Linked DNA regions of Drosophila melanogaster. The protein of the gene in region 2 purifies or fractionates together with the protein of the main gene of each other region. This does not show direct contact. Each region holds a gene or a part of one and is shown on either strand. Other genes may lie near its edges.

Region 1 (3,535 bases), on a different chromosome or scaffold from region 2:
GAACCCATTAGTCATTATTTTTTCATCCACAAAGACATGTCATCAACTATGATTTTCCGCACAACATCGAGGAGTATGTGCACCGTGTTGGTCGCACCGGACGTGCTGGCCGACAGGGCACATCAATAAGCTTTTTTACGCGCGAGGATTGGGCTATGGCCAAGGAACTAATTGAGATACTGCAGGAGGCGGAGCAGGAAGTGCCCGACGAACTGCACAACATGGCTAGACGCTTTAAAGCCATGAAGGACAAGCGCGCTGCTGAAGGTGGCGGTTTTGGAGGAAGAGGTGGTCGTTTTGGAGGCGGACGTGGCGGCGGACGCCGAAATTTCGATCAATTTCAATACTGATTCATTCTACATTTTCTAGTTATAAGAGACTAGAGCGCATTGAAGTGCCTTGCCAAAAATTGTTTAACTATTTATCTATTCCAATTATAGATGATCATAACCCAAAACATGCCGTGTTAAAAGAACACGCGATTTAAATGTATCAAACTAAGAGTTTAGAATGTTTATTGAGCTTAGTTAGTGCCACCGGCGTATTTCTCCAGCAGTTCCCGTTTCCGCTGGCGCAGCAGTGCTTCCTGTACATCTTGTTGCGTCGGCACGGGAACGTGAGCGGTGAACTTGGATGCCAATAGGCCATGAGGATCCTCCACGGCGGCTCGAGCCTTGGCATCCTCGATGGCTTCGCGTGCTGGTCCCGAAAGGGGATATATTTCATCCTCCTCTTCGTCATCGATTATGCGACCATCTCTGGCCATTTTCTCCCGCCATTCCTGCACGGCCTTCTGAATGGCCGCTCGTTCGATGCGTTCCTCCAGAGGGATCAGAACACCATCTTCGTCATCTCGATAGCCGTAGTATTCGGCATCTATGTCCTTCATTAGTTCAGCGCGTGATTTCCTGGGTGGCGGCGGAGGATCCTGTTCAAAGAGCTCGCGAACACCCGGCAGATCCTTGGCGGCTCCAAAGTATTTGTAGCCTCGATTGCCGGGAACTTCACGGCCCTCCGCATCGAACATCTTGGGACCATAGCGTCTATAGTGGGGGCCACCCAATGAGGATATCTGATTTTCCCAATGCCGTTTCTCACGCAATAACTTGTTGATTTCATCGTTCAGATCGCGAATCCGGAATTCTCCCAAGCCAGCTATAAGTGGTCGCTATTAGTGTATATTGTTAGGGAGAAATAAATAAACCGAAATAGGTACCATTCTGTATCTGGGCCACCTTCTTCGATATGTCGCGTATTATCTCCAGGCGGAACTTCTCACATCTGGGCAAATCGTGGCACTCGGAGGCCAAATAGGGCCGGCGTTCCTTTTCACCAGATTCCACTTCTTTTGCGGCCCGCCAACGTGCCAAAGTTGTCCTGTCGAAAATAAGCGGATGAGTGCTGGAAATCTTATGTTATACGTATATCCGGGTTACTTACATTGCCTTCTCTGCATTGCGCGCCTGAAAATATACATGTATTATTCATTTAATTAAAATTAATAAAATTTTCACATCATCTTACCATTTTGTTTACTAACTTCTTCTGCCTTAATTGCCAGTCACAGCGAACTATACGGAAATCGGTTACACGTTATCGATAGCAAGTACAGTAAATATTGTCCAGTAGCGATTTCACATATATTTTAAATGCAATTTATTAATAATATTCCCGATGAAACCCGAAGACATAATATTATTTATTTGTACTTAATATATATATACCATATGAATTTTATTTTCTCTTAATTGGATACATGCTGAAATAAACGATTACCATTCACTACGAATACTACTAAGTACACTACCGCGCACTTGGCCACACTGACCTGCCCAGTTGTTTTTTCACGACAACATTTACGCTCTTTGGAAAAGGAAACCTTTTTTCGCGAATTTCAAGCAGATCCCGACCAGAAACACACCTGCCCCAGGATGTTGGCCCTCATCAACAGGATCCTCGAGTGGTTCAAGAGCATCTTCTGGAAAGAGGAGATGGAACTCACGCTAGTGGGGCTGCAGTTCTCCGGGAAGACGACGTTCGTCAATGTTATTGCAGTGAGTATTTTCGCAGTGGGTGTGTGCGAATTCGTGTGGGTGTATGGGTGAGAGGGTGGTTTTTTTTGTGTGTGGTTGTCTGTTGTGTGGGTGGGGAGGGGGTTCACGGAAAGCCGGGGGATCAGCTACTACTTAAAAAGCATTACAAACCCCCAGTGACAAAGGAATTGGTCTTAGCTTGATTCCCCCACTCTAACATTGTTTATTTCTTATCTTTTCGTACTCCCAGTTTCTTTCACTGCATCCGTAATTAACGCTGTGCTAACCGTTTCCTTTTAGTGGTAAAGTTTACCGTTCCTGCCGCTGTAATCAATAAACCTACATATAGCCCATATATACGCATGTTTCTCCGCACAATGACGCCATTATCAGCACTTCAACCCCTGACCCCGTATTCCCGTACCGCCTCCCTGGTTTTTTTCACACATTTCTGCACGCTGATAATGCGACGATCTCAAGTTACCATTTACTGGAACTCGTAGATAGTTGCATACACTTGCCAGTCGTTGCGGGAGGTGGAGTAACTACTGCCTTTGTGACCGCCTGACTTATTATGAGTCATGTGAATTCGATTCAAATGTCTGCCCGCATCTACGGGAAATTTGTTTGTTCAAGTGCTCCCGAAACGGAAATATTCCCCTGCTTATCACTGCTATTAGACTCCAATTCCGTGTTTGCATTCAGATTCGTGCATTAGTGTAATGTTCAGGTTCGGAATGAAAACAAACTTGTGGGTGGCGCCAATTAGTCACTTTTCCCATTTCACTAGCGACTGCTAACCTATAGTATACCTTTTTAATTTAAACTAAGTCACAGAAGTAACATCTTGCCATTTTAGGAGCTTTCGATTCTCTTATTGAATGCATATGTAAGGTGATTGATGCTGATACAGAACAAAGATTTATGGGTTAGAATCAATTATCAATTTAAGTGTTGTATGTTGAATTAAATTTAGTACCAAAAGACATTGTTTGATCAATACTTTAAGATATTACAATAGTTATTTATTTAAGAGCATTTTCAAAAAGAATAACAAATTTTTTAAGGTTTTGGATGCTGTCATGTGTAAAAAATCAATTTTTTACACGAGTTTTACATTATTTTGGATTGCATACTTCTAGGCTTTGTTCTTTGCTAATATAAAAGTTGTATTTTATTTAAGACACGATTACTTACTAATTATTTTTGTTTCTTGTAGTCCGGCCAATTCGCTGAGGACATGATACCCACAGTTGGATTCAACATGCGCAAGATCACCAGAGGCAATGTGACTATCAAGGTGTGGGACATCGGAGGCCAACCTCGATTCCGATCCATGTGGGAGCGCTATTGTCGCGGCGTTAATGCGATTGTGTAAGCAATAATGATACTTAAGCAACAATCGGTAGTCAAGTAACACTGTAATGTATTAATCAACAGCTACATGGTGGACGCAGCCGATCTGGACAAATTAGAGGCCTCGAGGAACGAGCTGCACTCAC
Region 2 (4,806 bases):
CCCTGTGATTCGATCGCTGACGATCAACTGCTGCTGGCAGCTGCCGGAAAAGAATGCCAGACCCAGTCTGCCTCCAGTCGATCCGCCTGTATCTGTATCTGTATCTCTTTATCCCAGCCGGACGCCACTGATAAGCGCCGCAGATCTGGCGGACTATGCTGCAGCTCGGCTCGTGATCGCTCATCAACCTGCCCAACATGCGACAGACAACGACGAGTTCGGCGATCGGCAGCGCTCAGTTGAAATTCGCACTTAGGCAGACCGGATCAGTCAGCTGTTTGACTATCTTTATGATATGGCGTGCTCCCTGTGGGTTTCGTTATCGCGTTACGAGAGATGAAGACTAGATATTCCTGAAGACAGCTTAACGACGGACCGCTTGCCGGATTTACAGCTTTTCAAAGTCCAAACAAACAAGATTGTGGATTCCACCTCAGAGCTAAGCCAATGACTTCTCCGATTTGGCCAGAAAAACAAAAACCTGGGAATAGGGAGCTCTTGCCAGAAGTTGGGGATCAATCATTTTACTTGAACTAAAAAACATCCACAGTTTTTAAGATTCAATTATATTTGTATTTACACCGAAAAAATGTATGCGTCGCGATCTATTGAGAACTTGAGTCACAGTTGAGCTACGCTGTTATTGCCACGGGAACATTTACATGAGGATCACGGCATCCACTTACTACAAAATGGCATACATCAGGAGTATCTTCCTCATTGACTGCACCATTTTTGACTGTAGTAGTGTAGTGAGCAATGTGTACTTAGGTATAGGCTAGCATAAGAATGAGACCTACGAATTGCCGTCTAAATCGAGGGCTAACAGCTGTGCGCGTCTGCCGTCGTGGGGGACACCGTCGCAGGGCGTGGTGCTCCACAAGTGGCTTCCCACAGACGGCTCAGGACTCATCCGACATTTTCGTAGGACATTGGAGGCCGTTCGCTGGCGGTCGATCCGAAGATCGTTGGCGGATGGTGTTGCTGTCCCTGTTGCTGCTGCTGGTGGGGATGCTGTTGCTGTTGCTGGTGGGGATTGTGGCCATGCTGGTGTTGCTGTGCGGTCGGCTGCTCGTTGCGAAGCTGTCCCAGCGGAAACATGATGTTGTGGGCCATCTGGGGGTGGTGCAGGTGCTCATTGGGTGGCGGTGGAGGCGGTTGCTGGTGGGCAGCATGAAGGGCCTGAGCGGCCTCCACATGCTTGCGTTGCTCGCTTTGCTGTTGCTGTTGCTGCTGATGAACCTTCTCCACGCTGTTCTCCTCGTACTTCTTCTGAAGTTGGAAAAGAGGCAGCTGCTGGGAGGTATGAATGGGCACAGCAACTGCGCCTGCAGATGCTACTCGCTCTACCTGTGATTGAGGCGATGGTTCACGCTCGCCCTTTTCGTATTTCTTTTGCAACTGGTACATGCTGTGGGACAAGTGAGTAGTCACCGTGCTACTGCCACTGCTGCTAGAGCTGAGTTTTGAGGAGGTTGACGTAGAGGAGGGCGCGGGCTTCTCCGCTTTGACAGGCGACTTCTTCTGATACTTCTTCAGTATCTGCATTAGTTCGGACTTTACATCAAGGCGTATCTCCTCCGGAACTCTCTTGATCTCTTCGTACAGGGATAAGAGGAACAGCTTGTCGGGATCCCGGTTCTTGCGCTTCTTGCTCTTTTTTGGAAATGCATCCTGCATGAACTGCAGAAGCTTCTCCTCAAATGGCGACTCTCTGGATAGTGATCCACTTCCATGCTGGCGCCTCAACAGGTGTGGATGCAAGCCACCGTGAAAAGCAGGGTGCTGGAGCATTCCGGAGTGGGATTGACCACCGCCGCTATGCTCGCCTCCTCCACCGCTGCCATTGTGCGCCTGCAACTGGGATACTGGGTGTCCCTGATATGAGCCACCATTGCTTGATCCAGGAGCATCATTGGTTTCGCCATCGTTGGTGTGATGATCCTGCTGCTGCTGTTGCCCTGCATGCGATTGCGGATCCTTCTGGTGCTGCATATTGTGCTGGTGATGGCCCACTGCTGCCGTGAGAATAGCATCGCACAGATGCTCCGGGGCGTAGTCCAAGCCGGTCAAGAAGTTCTCCGCCTTGAGCTCACCATTCATCTCCTCGTAGAAGTACTCGGTGCCCACAATGTCGATGATATCGTTGTCCTCCTGGTTTAGTTCGATCCCCGGTGGTGGAGATCCTCCAGAGAGTTGACAGCGCTTCAGTTCCGCCAGCTTTTTCCTTGTGGTCAGTCGCATATCGCGCCAGCACTGGAAGAAGATTAAAGTTTATTTTTGGATTTAATAGGCAAGTAAACGCACCTTTTTCCACTGAATAATCGTCTTCTTGGGACCAATAGTATTAAGGGCCGCTTGGATCTTCTCCCAATACCACTCCTTCTCCTTTTTGCCCTCCATGTACTTGGTTTCCCGCAGCAGTGTGATGAGCATCTTCTTCTGCGGCTTGGTCACTCGATCCTGGAAGAGTAAAACGGTTCATTAGCAATCCCACATTCCAATGAATGAAATTCCACAAATCGGTGCTTTTCCCGCCTCGAACACCACTCCAATTGTTGCTATTGTTTATCCAAATGCCAGCGGTGTCTACAATATTTTGCTGCTCCCCGCACACACACACGCACAAGTCGTGTGTGTGTGTGGTAAAAGAATCGGACGATTCGTAATTTTTGGAACCTTGCAAATTACCATGGTGAGCTTTTGAAGCAGTCTGCGTTGGCTCGAAATCTTGATGTTTTGTTTTTCAACCGCCGTCGAGTTTTTGCTGCTGAATTCCGGGGACTTTTGTTTAATTTTTCACTCCCTCAAACATTGCTGTTGCTGCCTTTCGTTCTTCTTCTTCTGTCCGCTGCGTATGTGTGTGTGTGCGTTTGACGGTCTCACCAGTTTGACGTTTCGCCCGCCCGGTTGGAAATCAGCTGATGCGCAAACGACCGTTACAAAATTAAATTTGTAGTTAAATTACTTATTTCGTTGATTTAAGTAATGTAGCAATAAGTATATTGACCGATGGCTCTTGAAATAAGTATATTGCTGTAATACACAACCTTTTTTGCGAATTAAAAAAACTTGAAAAAATTCACAATTAAAATGATAAGAACAGTTTTATATGGTATTTTTAAAGTTTTATTAAGTGATAAGAAAGTAAACGAGTTCCATTTCAGCGTTTGTTGGTTGTCGCCTGTCTGCTGACCTGCCGGGTGATGGTGGACACACCCTCCTCGAAGAGAGTGCGGAACAGGACGTTGGCGTGGTTGAAGAGACCATCCTTGAGAGACACAATCAAGAACTGCGAGTTGGTGAAGTGCTGCTTCAACATACTACCTATGTTTTGGGTGTGTGACATGTCCAGGGCAGCGTCCACCTCATCCAAAATGTACAAGGGAGCCGGAGAGAACTTAAGCATGGCCAGGACAAGGGACAGAGCCACCAAGGACTTCTGGCCACCAGAAAGTTCACCGAGACTCTCCTTCCATATGCCATTGAAGCCGACTTTAATCTCCAAACCGGTCAGACAGCCATTGGTATGGACGGGATTGAGTTTCGCTTCAGCACCCGGTAAAAGGGAGCTAAAGATCCCACTGAAGTTCGTGTTCACCTCGGTAGCGGCTTTGTTCAGCTGATCCTGCTCTTCTTCGTCCATCTTCACTATGATTTTCTTAATCTTCTCCTTGTCCATCGCCACAATGTTTCGCCGGCGCTCGGTCTCCTTGAAGTTCTCTTCCTCGCGATCCAGCACCATGATAGCGTTCATGTTGAGAGTGCGTTCCATTTTGTCCTTTTTCTCCTGCATCTTTGCCAGCTTGTTGCCTGCTTCGTGGGGGTCCTCCTTGCTGTAATCGTACCGAGTATTCTTCATGCCAAAGCAGTTCTTCTCCTCCGGAATCCACGGATACTTTGCCTCAAGGGCTTCCATCCGTTTCTTTGCCTCTTTGGCATCCGAACTGATCTTTTTTTGTTCGTTCTCTTTTTTCTTCACCTCCAGCTCAATCTCCTGATTTTCCTTCAACATTTTCTCCTTCTTGACCAACTGATTTCGCATCTCCTTGTTCTGATCTCTCAGTTTATCTTTCTGCTCCTTAATCGCCTGTTCGAGCTCCGTCACCTCGGACGCGGCACTGGAGCTATTTACTTTCAGAGCGTCTAGCTCGGCCTTAAACTTTTCGAGGTTATCAATCATTTCCTGGTGCTGCTTCTTTGCAGTTTCGATACTTTTCTGCAGCTCAGTAATTTCCAATTGAAGAGTTTCGAACTCCTGCTCTCGCTTTTTCCAGTTCGCACGAGATTTCTCCGCCCTTTGCTTGGTCACCTTGATCTCGTTGGTGGCTGCATTCAGCTCTCGCTCGCGATAACCCTTTGCATCTGCCAACTTCGCCTCGATATCCACTATTTTGGCTTGCGAGGTCTTCTGCTTTTCACGGGAGTCAATTATTTGCTGCTCTAGGGTCTTGACCCTTTCCCTCATTTCTTCAATTTCAGCCTGATTCTGTTGAAAGGTTGTTTGGGCCAACCTGTTCTCGCACATGGTTAGCTCGTGCTGTCGCAAGTCAAGATTTTCCTTCATTTTGTTGAACGCGAGGGCCTGGTTTTCAATGGATCTAAAAACAGATAGGCGTAAGTATTGGCAATGAGAAGTTACTGGTTCACCTACGCAATTTGCTTTTCCACTTGGGCTATCTCAGAGTCGATCTCCCTGTACTCCTTTTCTATTTGCTTAATTGCGTGCAATTCTTCTAGAACGTTAGCACCTTTAGGAGCAGCACCTCCAGACACTGTGCCATGGGGATCGACGACATCTCCTTC
Region 3 (3,916 bases), on a different chromosome or scaffold from region 2:
TCCAGCAGGGGCACACTGTAGTTCTGGCACGGCGTCATGTACTGAAAATGCATCTTCCTTATGTCCGGAGTGATTTGCGCAGGGATTCTGTCCATAAAGAGGGTGGAAGAACCTGGCATTTAGATCACAATAAAATCAAATAACTTTTTATATGTTGATAAACACAGGACGTTATCCTTACACACAGCATCAATTATGTTGGAAGCCAATTCAAGTGGAGCAGCTGTGAGTATGTTCGCCTTAATGGTGGCGATGTCAGTTAAAAGTCTAGGCACTGCATCCCACCAGCTTCGCGTCAACCTTCCCTCTTCGTCAACAGCTATATCTCCCAATGCTCCGAGGCGTAATAGGATAACAATGCCACACAGAATCCTCATATCCCTTCTTTAGCACACCGATGCTGGAACTAGTTTAAGTTTTGCAAGTATAGAAATTATCGCTAGTAAAGCGGCCATTGTTCGCTGGTTTTATTGTTCCCAAACTGAACTCGAAAATATTGTTTGCATACCCACTGAAATATTCGTACACTGAGTAAATGAGAGTGTTCTAGTTATTTTCATTAAAAAGTCATGTTTTATTAACCCAAATGCTGAGCAGTCCAAATTTAAGTAACGAACGTATTATGTGCAGATTTTTGTCTAGTTCGATTTCAGCCTTTCTCCGAAATGGTTAAGATTTTTTACTTACATATATATCAAATTAGGCATAAAAAGGTACAACTATAGAATTTAACTTAGAAAAGCGCAGCTAGGCGCCATGTAGTTTAGATATATCTTCGTATTGCACGTTGTCTACAATTCTGCCTTTGAGAGGACCGTGCAATATTTCCACGCTGACTGAATATCTGCGCTCGTCCAGTTTCCTTAGCAGAGCCTCGGATCCCCGATAAGCGCCATTAACCACCATGACAGGCTTGTCCAAAGCGGGGATTACCGTCTCCAAATGAGCCTGGAAAACAAAAAAAAATAAAAACACCTGGGTAAATATCCGTTATAGATTAAAATTGGGTTTCCATCTTACTTGATCCACTTTTAGCTTTTCCCCAGTCTCCAAGAACTTGATTTTGCCCTGATATCTGTCAATTACGTCCAGGACAACCGCTTTTTGTTTGAAGAACTTTTCGCCCATGGATTTGGAAATAAATTTGACCACGATACCCTTGTGCAGCCAGTAGTCCTTGCGGTTGGCACGCTCCTTTTTGCTTTCCTCCTGCTTGATGATCTCGTCCAGCACCGACCGCGTTTGGCTGTCTCCAGCCACGGATTTGGGTTTCTTGAACACCTTTTCTTCAGCTTCAGGGGCAGGTCGCTTGGCTAGAGCGGATTTCCCTAGCACAGTGTCAGGCTGGAACTTTTTCTCAAGGCGAATATCAAGCTTGAGTGGTTCGTTCTCTTCGCGCTTTAGCTCGGTGAACTTCTCCTGGCCTTCGTCCTCCTCGCCGTCCTTGGCCTTGGCATTTTTAATCTGCTGCTCAATGAAGTCGGCCATCCGCTCCTCGTCGTCCTTCTCCATCTTCTCCTTGCGATCAGCCTTCGCCTGTCGTTCCATGGCCTCTGGACTGCGATCAATGTAGGTGACGAACCAGCCCTTCTCCGTCTCATCCGCTATCACTTGCCCAGTCCGGCCCAGCCACTTCACGTAGTCGGACAGGGTGAGCCATCGGGTGGCGTTCATGTGGATGTGCTCCTTGTGGGCAATGTACTCCTGGTAGATCTTGTTGGCGCTGGTTCGCTTCGTGCCGAACCGCCGGCGCAGCAACTCCATGTAGCCGTCGGAGAACTCTTTGCTGAAGCTGTGCAGGAATTTGCCAGGATTGTCCGCAAAGAGGAGCAACTGGCGCTGGTGGGACTCGCTCATCGTGTGGCACTTGAAGCCGTTTTCATCGCGGCACTGCTTCTCGCACATCTGGCAGTACCAGCGCAGCTTCTGCAGACCCTTCGATTTCATCTTGTTGGCGAGGTACTTGGGCGTACCTACCTCGGCGCGACCCATCGTAGCGTCTTTTTATGTGCGTGGTTTTACAAATAATTTCTCAACAAAAACTTATTGTTTTGATCTCACGTAAAGGTATGACCGCGCTGGGGTATAACAACAATACCCGTGAACACTTTTATCGATAGTTACTGCTGGGGGATGTTCGTGTGACCAGGCTAATATTATTTGTTGATAGCGGTAGAAAATGAATTTAAAAAACTTAATATTCATTTCTTGAAAGATTTTTATTTAAATATTCAAAATAGAGATTAAGCCGAGTTTACATAATAAAGGCGTATTTTTTATCACAAAGTAATAACTACAATGAAATGTACAATTGAACGATTTCCATTAATTAGCTTAATTCACATAGAAAATAATTCAAAGCACAATTTTCTCGCCCAATCTCTCAATTTCGTCCAAAATGAAGTCCAACTCTTTGCTTTTCAGGATGGGAAAACAAGTGAAGACCATGCGAAAGAAGTTGCCCAGATTTTTAGCTTTAAGAGGCGAGTAACCAATCATCAAAGTGCCGCTGTGGGCCATTTGCTCCTTAATTTTCGGGGCCACCTTTAAAGGAGCATATAAAAATGTGAGCTTAAATGGTCTATCAAAGCCATTGTTATTCACTTACAGTGTAAAGTCGACTCCACCATTCAGGCGTCTCCTCCTCGCTGGACACCCTCATTGCTTTCGGAATGAACCAAAAGCAGACATTGGAGTACTCGTGCTCCGGGATCACCAGTCTAAAGCGATCTCCACGCTGGCGCAGCTTGCCTTCCAGCAACCTGGCGATGTGGATGGCGTGGTCCACCATGAGTCCATACTTTCCATATCCGCGAGCCTTAAGCATTAGCCAGAACTTGAAAGCGTCGATCTTGCGGCCGCACTGGACACTCTTGTTTCCCGTATCGTAGGATACATCATAGAACTTGTCCTGCTGGAACAAATAGTGCGCCTCGGTGCTGTTGCATCTTTCCAGCAGACGGCCAGATTCCCTGGTCAAAAAGAGTGAACACTGCAATGGAGCGCCGATGGTTTTGTGCGGATTCCAGGAAAACGAATTCGCCCGCTCGAGGCCGGCAATGAGCGATCGGTTCTTGGCGGAGAGTAGTGCAGCGCCTCCCAGACAGGCGTCCACATGGAGCCACAGACCATGTCGTTCCGTCACATCCGCCGCACCATTGATATCATCAAAGGCACCCAACACAGTGGTGCCTGCAGTACAGTTGACAAAGAACGGTTCACCGCCACGTGCCTTTGCCTCTGCGATCTTCGCCTCCAGGTCGTCCAACAGCATCTGACCCCGCTCATTGGTCCTCACCGACACACAGTTGTAGCTGCCCAATCCCAGCCAGTTGGCCGCCTTCACGAAGCTGTAGTGCGACTCGTCGGAGGTAAAGAGCACCAGCGGTCGCATTCCAAACATTCCAGACGTCTTCACCTCGGGCGCGATCTTATAGCGGGCCAGAACCATGCCGTACATGTTGGAGGTGGAGCCACCGGGCGCAAAGATGCCATCGCCTTCCTTGTATCCCGCTAACTTGCAGATGGTCGCGATCACCTCAGTTTCGATCAAGCTAAACACGGGCGCAACTTCGTAGGTGTATCTGAAACAAAAGTTTATTGTGTCTTGTTGGATACCTCGGTTAAAAGTCTGATTTTGGTAGTCCTATCTAGGAAATCTCATCTAAATGATTAATAACTTGCAATGATTGTGTATGAACTCTGCTTAATCCCCATTTAAATTAATCGAAAGGGGGGGGGGGGGGTTATGAAACATACATGTAGTACTTTGCAATCTCCATTACATAGCGCAATTATCTGTACGTTGAACCCCGACACCACTTGTAGATTGGAACACGAGATGCAATCAGCGGTCACTCATATAGACAAGACACATGTGTGGAATAAGGCGCAGACTTACGTGCTGCCGTTCATG
Region 4 (4,539 bases), on a different chromosome or scaffold from region 2:
GAAAAATTAATTTTATCCTTTCCATTTCCGTTGTTGCGCGCATCAGTGTGTGTGCGGTTTTCCTTCTCACTCTTTCCTTGGCCGTGTGGGTGGCAGTTTTTCCCGCACATTTTTTTTAGTTTTCTTCAGCTTTTGCATTATTTTAACGTGTGCTCTTTTTTCCCACCCTCACCTCGACTCTATTTTTTTTCCTTCGTTATAAATCTTGAGGTTGAGCACTCGACTGGACGCCATTTTTTATTTTTCACCTTCAGCCCCCACCCACCTGAACCCCACCCTTTACCATTCCCTCCCCATTCCCCCTTTTAGTCGGACGTCGCTTATTTTTCAATTCTGTCAGCTGCTTTGGTCAGAAAATGTCGCTTGGGAGCGGTCGACGGCATCCTTTTCTCCGATTGCAAAAGTTGAGATGGGATGTGTGGGGTATATATGCTTGTATGCTATCTGCAAAATAATTTATAGATGCCTCAACCAAAATGGACAGAGTAAAGGGTTCCGTTTCCTTATTTACTTTTTTATTGAGACTCCGTTTTTTTTTTCATTTTAGATACTGAAATTCAAGAAGGCACGTTGTATAGTGGATCTCAAGGGGGTTTTAGATAAAGAATCACTTTTACAAATCAATTCTGGACATTAGATACAATAGAGACTTCAGAAACAAGCAAGTGTTTCTTAAGAATTTACGGTAGAGAACTATAGCATTACATTCCTTTAATTTTGTCATGGGTATTCTCATATTTGTACTAATGTCTATGATGTCCATGATGTTCGTGGTGTCCATGGTGCTCATGATGTTCACGGTGATGATCGCCATGATGTTCCGGATATTCATGAGGATTTTCGTGAAAATGACCGGACTCAACTGGATTAGTTCCATGGAAATGGCCAGATCCCACAGGACTTCCGTAACCAGGCTGATATTGGTTTGGAGAACCTTGTCCAGCGAATCCTCCTTGACCCGGGTGGACTCCGCCTTGACCAATTCCCACCTGGCCACCAACTCCACCCTGTCCAGTGAATCCTATTTGTCCACCAAAACCTGCTTGCCCGCCGATTCCTCCGAATCCTCCAAATCCTCCTTGCCCTCCATATCCTCCTTGTCCAACTTGGCCGAATCCATTCTGAGCGTTCACAGCGGTCACCAGTGCAAACAGAGCAATCTATAGTTATAAATTTGTTATTATAAAAATATTTCTAAGTTAGTTAAGATTTCTATAGTAGAAGACGCACCAGTAGTTTCATCGTGGCTGAAGTTTCGGTACTGAGGCGGCTCTAATATTTTTTTGATTTTTATACCACGATTTGGTAATATCAAGTAGGTAGCTGAAAGGTATTCTACCTGGCTGAGGGACTTAAGTTTGAGTCTCTACCTGTAAAAGGAAATCACAGAAAAGTATTGCCGTCAACATCTGGTTACGATGGAAAATAAAATAAACCAGTTTATTGGAAGAGGGAAAATGGAAAAACAGAAAAATCCGGAATTGAATAGAATACTAATACTAATTCAGTACCATATTGAAATGACGGAAATATAAAGGAGTTTTTAAATTATTTGTTTATTTATATTTATTTATTTGATATTTGAAAAGTTTTTATCAACATAACATTACTCGATTTTTTTGATCAGGAAAATCCGGATAATATAAAATCATTAATAAGACATTACTCAGATACAAGATATAACATAGTGACTTTACCTTTTTTGAAACATTTTCTACTGTTGTCTAAATATCAATGATTTCGTATTTATTTTTTCCAGGTATTTCATCAGTAGGAACTTCGCCACCGGGAATTGGAGATTGGAAGCTGCCATGCTGATCGTCGTTTGAGGTTTCGTTGTGAGGTCTTTCGGTACCAGGAAATCCACTTTGAGGTGGACCGCCTCCTGGGCAACCGCAATGCGGACACCCTCCTGCTGGAGATCCAGATGGTGGGGGGTGGTGTGAAGAAGGAGGCGGAGGTGGCGGAGGAGGATATCCCTGCCAATGGTGGCCACCATACAGATATCCCCCTGGTGGTGGATAATGGGGCGGTGGTGGAGGTGGACCGTATCCCTCCCAAAAGTGACTTCCATGTCGATGGGGGCGATGAGGCGGTGGTGGAAAAGGCTGGTGCTGGTGTCCGTGTCCACAGCGTCCACCAGCACCATGTCTGCCACGATGGTGATGATGGTGACGAGGGGGAGGTGGACCTCCGTGTGGGTGATGTCCTCCTCCAGAAAATCGCCGACAGCCCATCTGATCGAGTCTCAGATGAATTTAGAGCAACGATCTGAAAAGATGTATGACTAATATTTTTGAGAACAAGATGCATTTGAATCTTTTTATATGCAAAAATTATTATATATGTTTATACGTCCGTTGTACATACATATGGTAAGCTGATAAGAATATTTTCTATGTATATATTCATTGACTTACATTTTTTCCTATTTCTATCTTAATGGAAACAATATACAGTAAATAAATGTTTGTTTTGCAACTGGTTTATTTTAGCGTACTTATTAATACGTCATTTATTTGTTGCTTTTAATAGCTAAAACAAGTTAGAATTCGATTTGTTGACGCAGTGGCCGAATTCATTGATATATATAAGTCTGGATATTTTTTTCTCTATCAATAAATATTTTAAAGAATAATTCCTAATACAAGTAAAGGCAAAAAGAAAAACCAGCGCACAATTAATTGCTTTGAATTTTGTTGTTTTGAACACAAGAATTGGATCAGCTGCTTAAATGTTATTTACAATTTAGAGTGGCATTGTATTTGGTTGCCAAAAAATAATATATAGGTTTATTTTTGGAAGAGTTGTTTGTTGATAACATATCGCCGCCAAAAATACTACAAGTTCAAATGCTTATGAGATTAAAAGTAAATTCGGAGGTGAAAAGCAACCATTTAAATAAGCAATATTGTTAAACTTTAAAACTGTGAAAATTATATTTGATTATCTAATTACATTTTCAATCTATCTCTTTATTTGTGGAGTCTAGTGATAACCAAAGAATTAAACAACTAAATCGTCTTAATTTCCGAGAAGCTGCTTAGCTATTATTATGCCTACGCTTGCCTTAAGTATTTATCCTTGAGTAAGGAAATCCTTCTGGGCGGAAAGAAAATCCAGCGGCATAAAGTTATGTGCCCAGGGCCAAAATTTTAATTCCAAATTTAATTTTCAGCCATTTTCCTCATTTTCCCCGGATGAATTTGTCAGGGCGTGTCGCATTCGGAAACCACTCGCCGGGGAATGAAGTGGAGACAAAGACATCTCGGGAAAAGGAAACATTTTTTGGCTTATGCCAAAATTACATCAAAAAGCGCTGCGGGTATGTAGGTATGTAGACAGACGTGGCAATTCCCATCTTAGGATTGAGTAAAGTGGCAAAAGGACGAGGGGCAGGCTGGAGCTGAAGGATTGCTGAGCCTTGGAAGTGGCAGGGAGTGAATGTCGTGAAGATATGCCAGGACCCTTGGAGAAAAGTTGAGCGGACCGAGGAACAGGGTTTGGTGATTGCTATCTTCATAATGACTTTGAAGTGTCAAACAATTTTGGGGAATTATCAACGCCCGCCTCGTCTTTCGCAAAGGTGAAAATGAAAATTGTACTTTTTGTTTGACTCAAACTTGATGGGGCCAAACTGAAGATATAATTATAATTTAATTGAAATGAAATTGTCGCTTAAGTCGAGTAGAAAAGGAATGGTATTGCGGCATTGGTAGACTCCAGGGGTAAAGCTCTCAACTTAATATTTTGCTGGCTAAAAATTTGGGCAGATGCGAAATACTCTTGGCTGAGCTGTAAAAGTGAGTCAATAAAATACACAACTATTTGCGCACCAATTTAATATGCCACATAGGCAAGTTAAAGGAGTTCGCCCAGCTCAAGTTTTCCGAGGGATGCGACAAAATACATTGGGTTGACAGAAGCCCATGAAGGGCCAAAAAGAAAAGCACACCGAGTTTCTGAACAGGTCCGAACAATGTCCGAGGAAAATCAATTTAATTTTTACTCATGTTCATGGCGTGACCCCTCGATAATCCATGGAAAAGGGGACGAGGTCGTCCTGCTGCTGAGCCGCCTGAGGTGGAAATTTCACTTAAGTCACTTTCAACTTTCGCAAGATGCCATCAAAGTTGGCTCCAAAGTTACTGGTCAGTTGATTTTTCCACCTCCTGGGGCGGCGGCCATTACCACCGATATTTACATTTTACCCAACCCACGGGGAAAACCTTTTCTCGAACACGATCTCCCCCAGCGCTCTCCAAACTTATGAAAAGTTTCGGTGAATTTGCGATAATGCTTTTTTTGGCTGGTGGTATATACATTTAACTTCAGCGCACGTGTGTCAGCTTTTCATCATATACTCTTCACAATTTTCAAACCGTGAAGTGCTTTTTCATGAGACCAGAAGAAATGAGTAAAGTTTTTTTTTAAAATAATTTTTTATATATTTTTTATCCCAAGAGCTTCAAGTTCTATTATAATGCCCAAAAATGTAACGTATGTTTAAGTTAGTTCATATACGAATATGCTCCTAAA

The links.
Region 1: the proteins of CG10209 (region 2) and CG9667 purify together in Drosophila melanogaster (affinity purification with western blotting, with the first as the bait; one study listed by BioGRID). This does not show direct contact.
Region 3: the proteins of CG10209 (region 2) and kin17 purify together in Drosophila melanogaster (affinity purification with western blotting, with the first as the bait; one study listed by BioGRID). This does not show direct contact.
Region 4: the proteins of CG10209 (region 2) and sala purify together in Drosophila melanogaster (affinity purification with western blotting, with the first as the bait; one study listed by BioGRID). This does not show direct contact.

What each region holds. Positions count from the first base shown.
Region 1 is NT_033777.3:8,124,789-8,128,323, forward strand, and holds CG9667 (uncharacterized protein), read right to left. Parts: upstream 1,570-3,535; 5' UTR 1,528-1,569; coding exon 1,525-1,527; intron 1,464-1,524; coding exon 1,441-1,463; intron 1,378-1,440; coding exon 1,217-1,377; intron 1,156-1,216; coding exon 524-1,155; 3' UTR 502-523; downstream 1-501. Other genes in the region: CG7878 (uncharacterized protein), read left to right, coding at 35-350; Arl8 (ADP ribosylation factor-like 8), read left to right, coding at 1,932-2,054, 3,253-3,407, 3,474-3,535.
Region 2 is NT_033778.4:14,845,509-14,850,314, forward strand, and holds CG10209 (uncharacterized protein), read right to left. Parts: upstream 2,859-4,806; 5' UTR 2,695-2,858; coding exon 2,692-2,694; intron 2,464-2,691; coding exon 2,308-2,463; intron 2,257-2,307; coding exon 910-2,256; coding exon of another isoform or gene 823-909; 3' UTR 556-822; downstream 1-555. Other genes in the region: SMC2 (structural maintenance of chromosomes 2), read right to left, coding at 3,164-4,601, 4,655-4,806.
Region 3 is NT_037436.4:20,354,973-20,358,888, reverse strand, and holds kin17 (kin17), read right to left. Parts: upstream 2,083-3,916; 5' UTR 1,993-2,082; coding exon 1,021-1,992; intron 949-1,020; coding exon 748-948; 3' UTR 558-747; downstream 1-557. Other genes in the region: CG5665 (uncharacterized protein), read right to left, coding at 1-112, 182-377; CG5618 (uncharacterized protein), read right to left, coding at 2,356-2,544, 2,609-3,584, 3,902-3,916.
Region 4 is NT_033779.5:11,482,913-11,487,451, reverse strand, and holds sala (spalt-adjacent), read right to left. Parts: upstream 2,746-4,539; 5' UTR 2,421-2,745; intron 2,272-2,420; 5' UTR 2,238-2,271; coding exon of another isoform or gene 1,725-2,237; 5' UTR 1,698-1,724; exon of another isoform or gene 1,669-1,697; intron 1,371-1,668; 5' UTR 1,243-1,370; coding exon 1,231-1,242; intron 1,161-1,230; coding exon 744-1,160; 3' UTR 503-743; downstream 1-502. Other genes in the region: CG43355 (uncharacterized protein), read right to left, coding at 1,725-2,237. UniProt on the Drosophila melanogaster protein: Likely to be involved in the establishment of the head.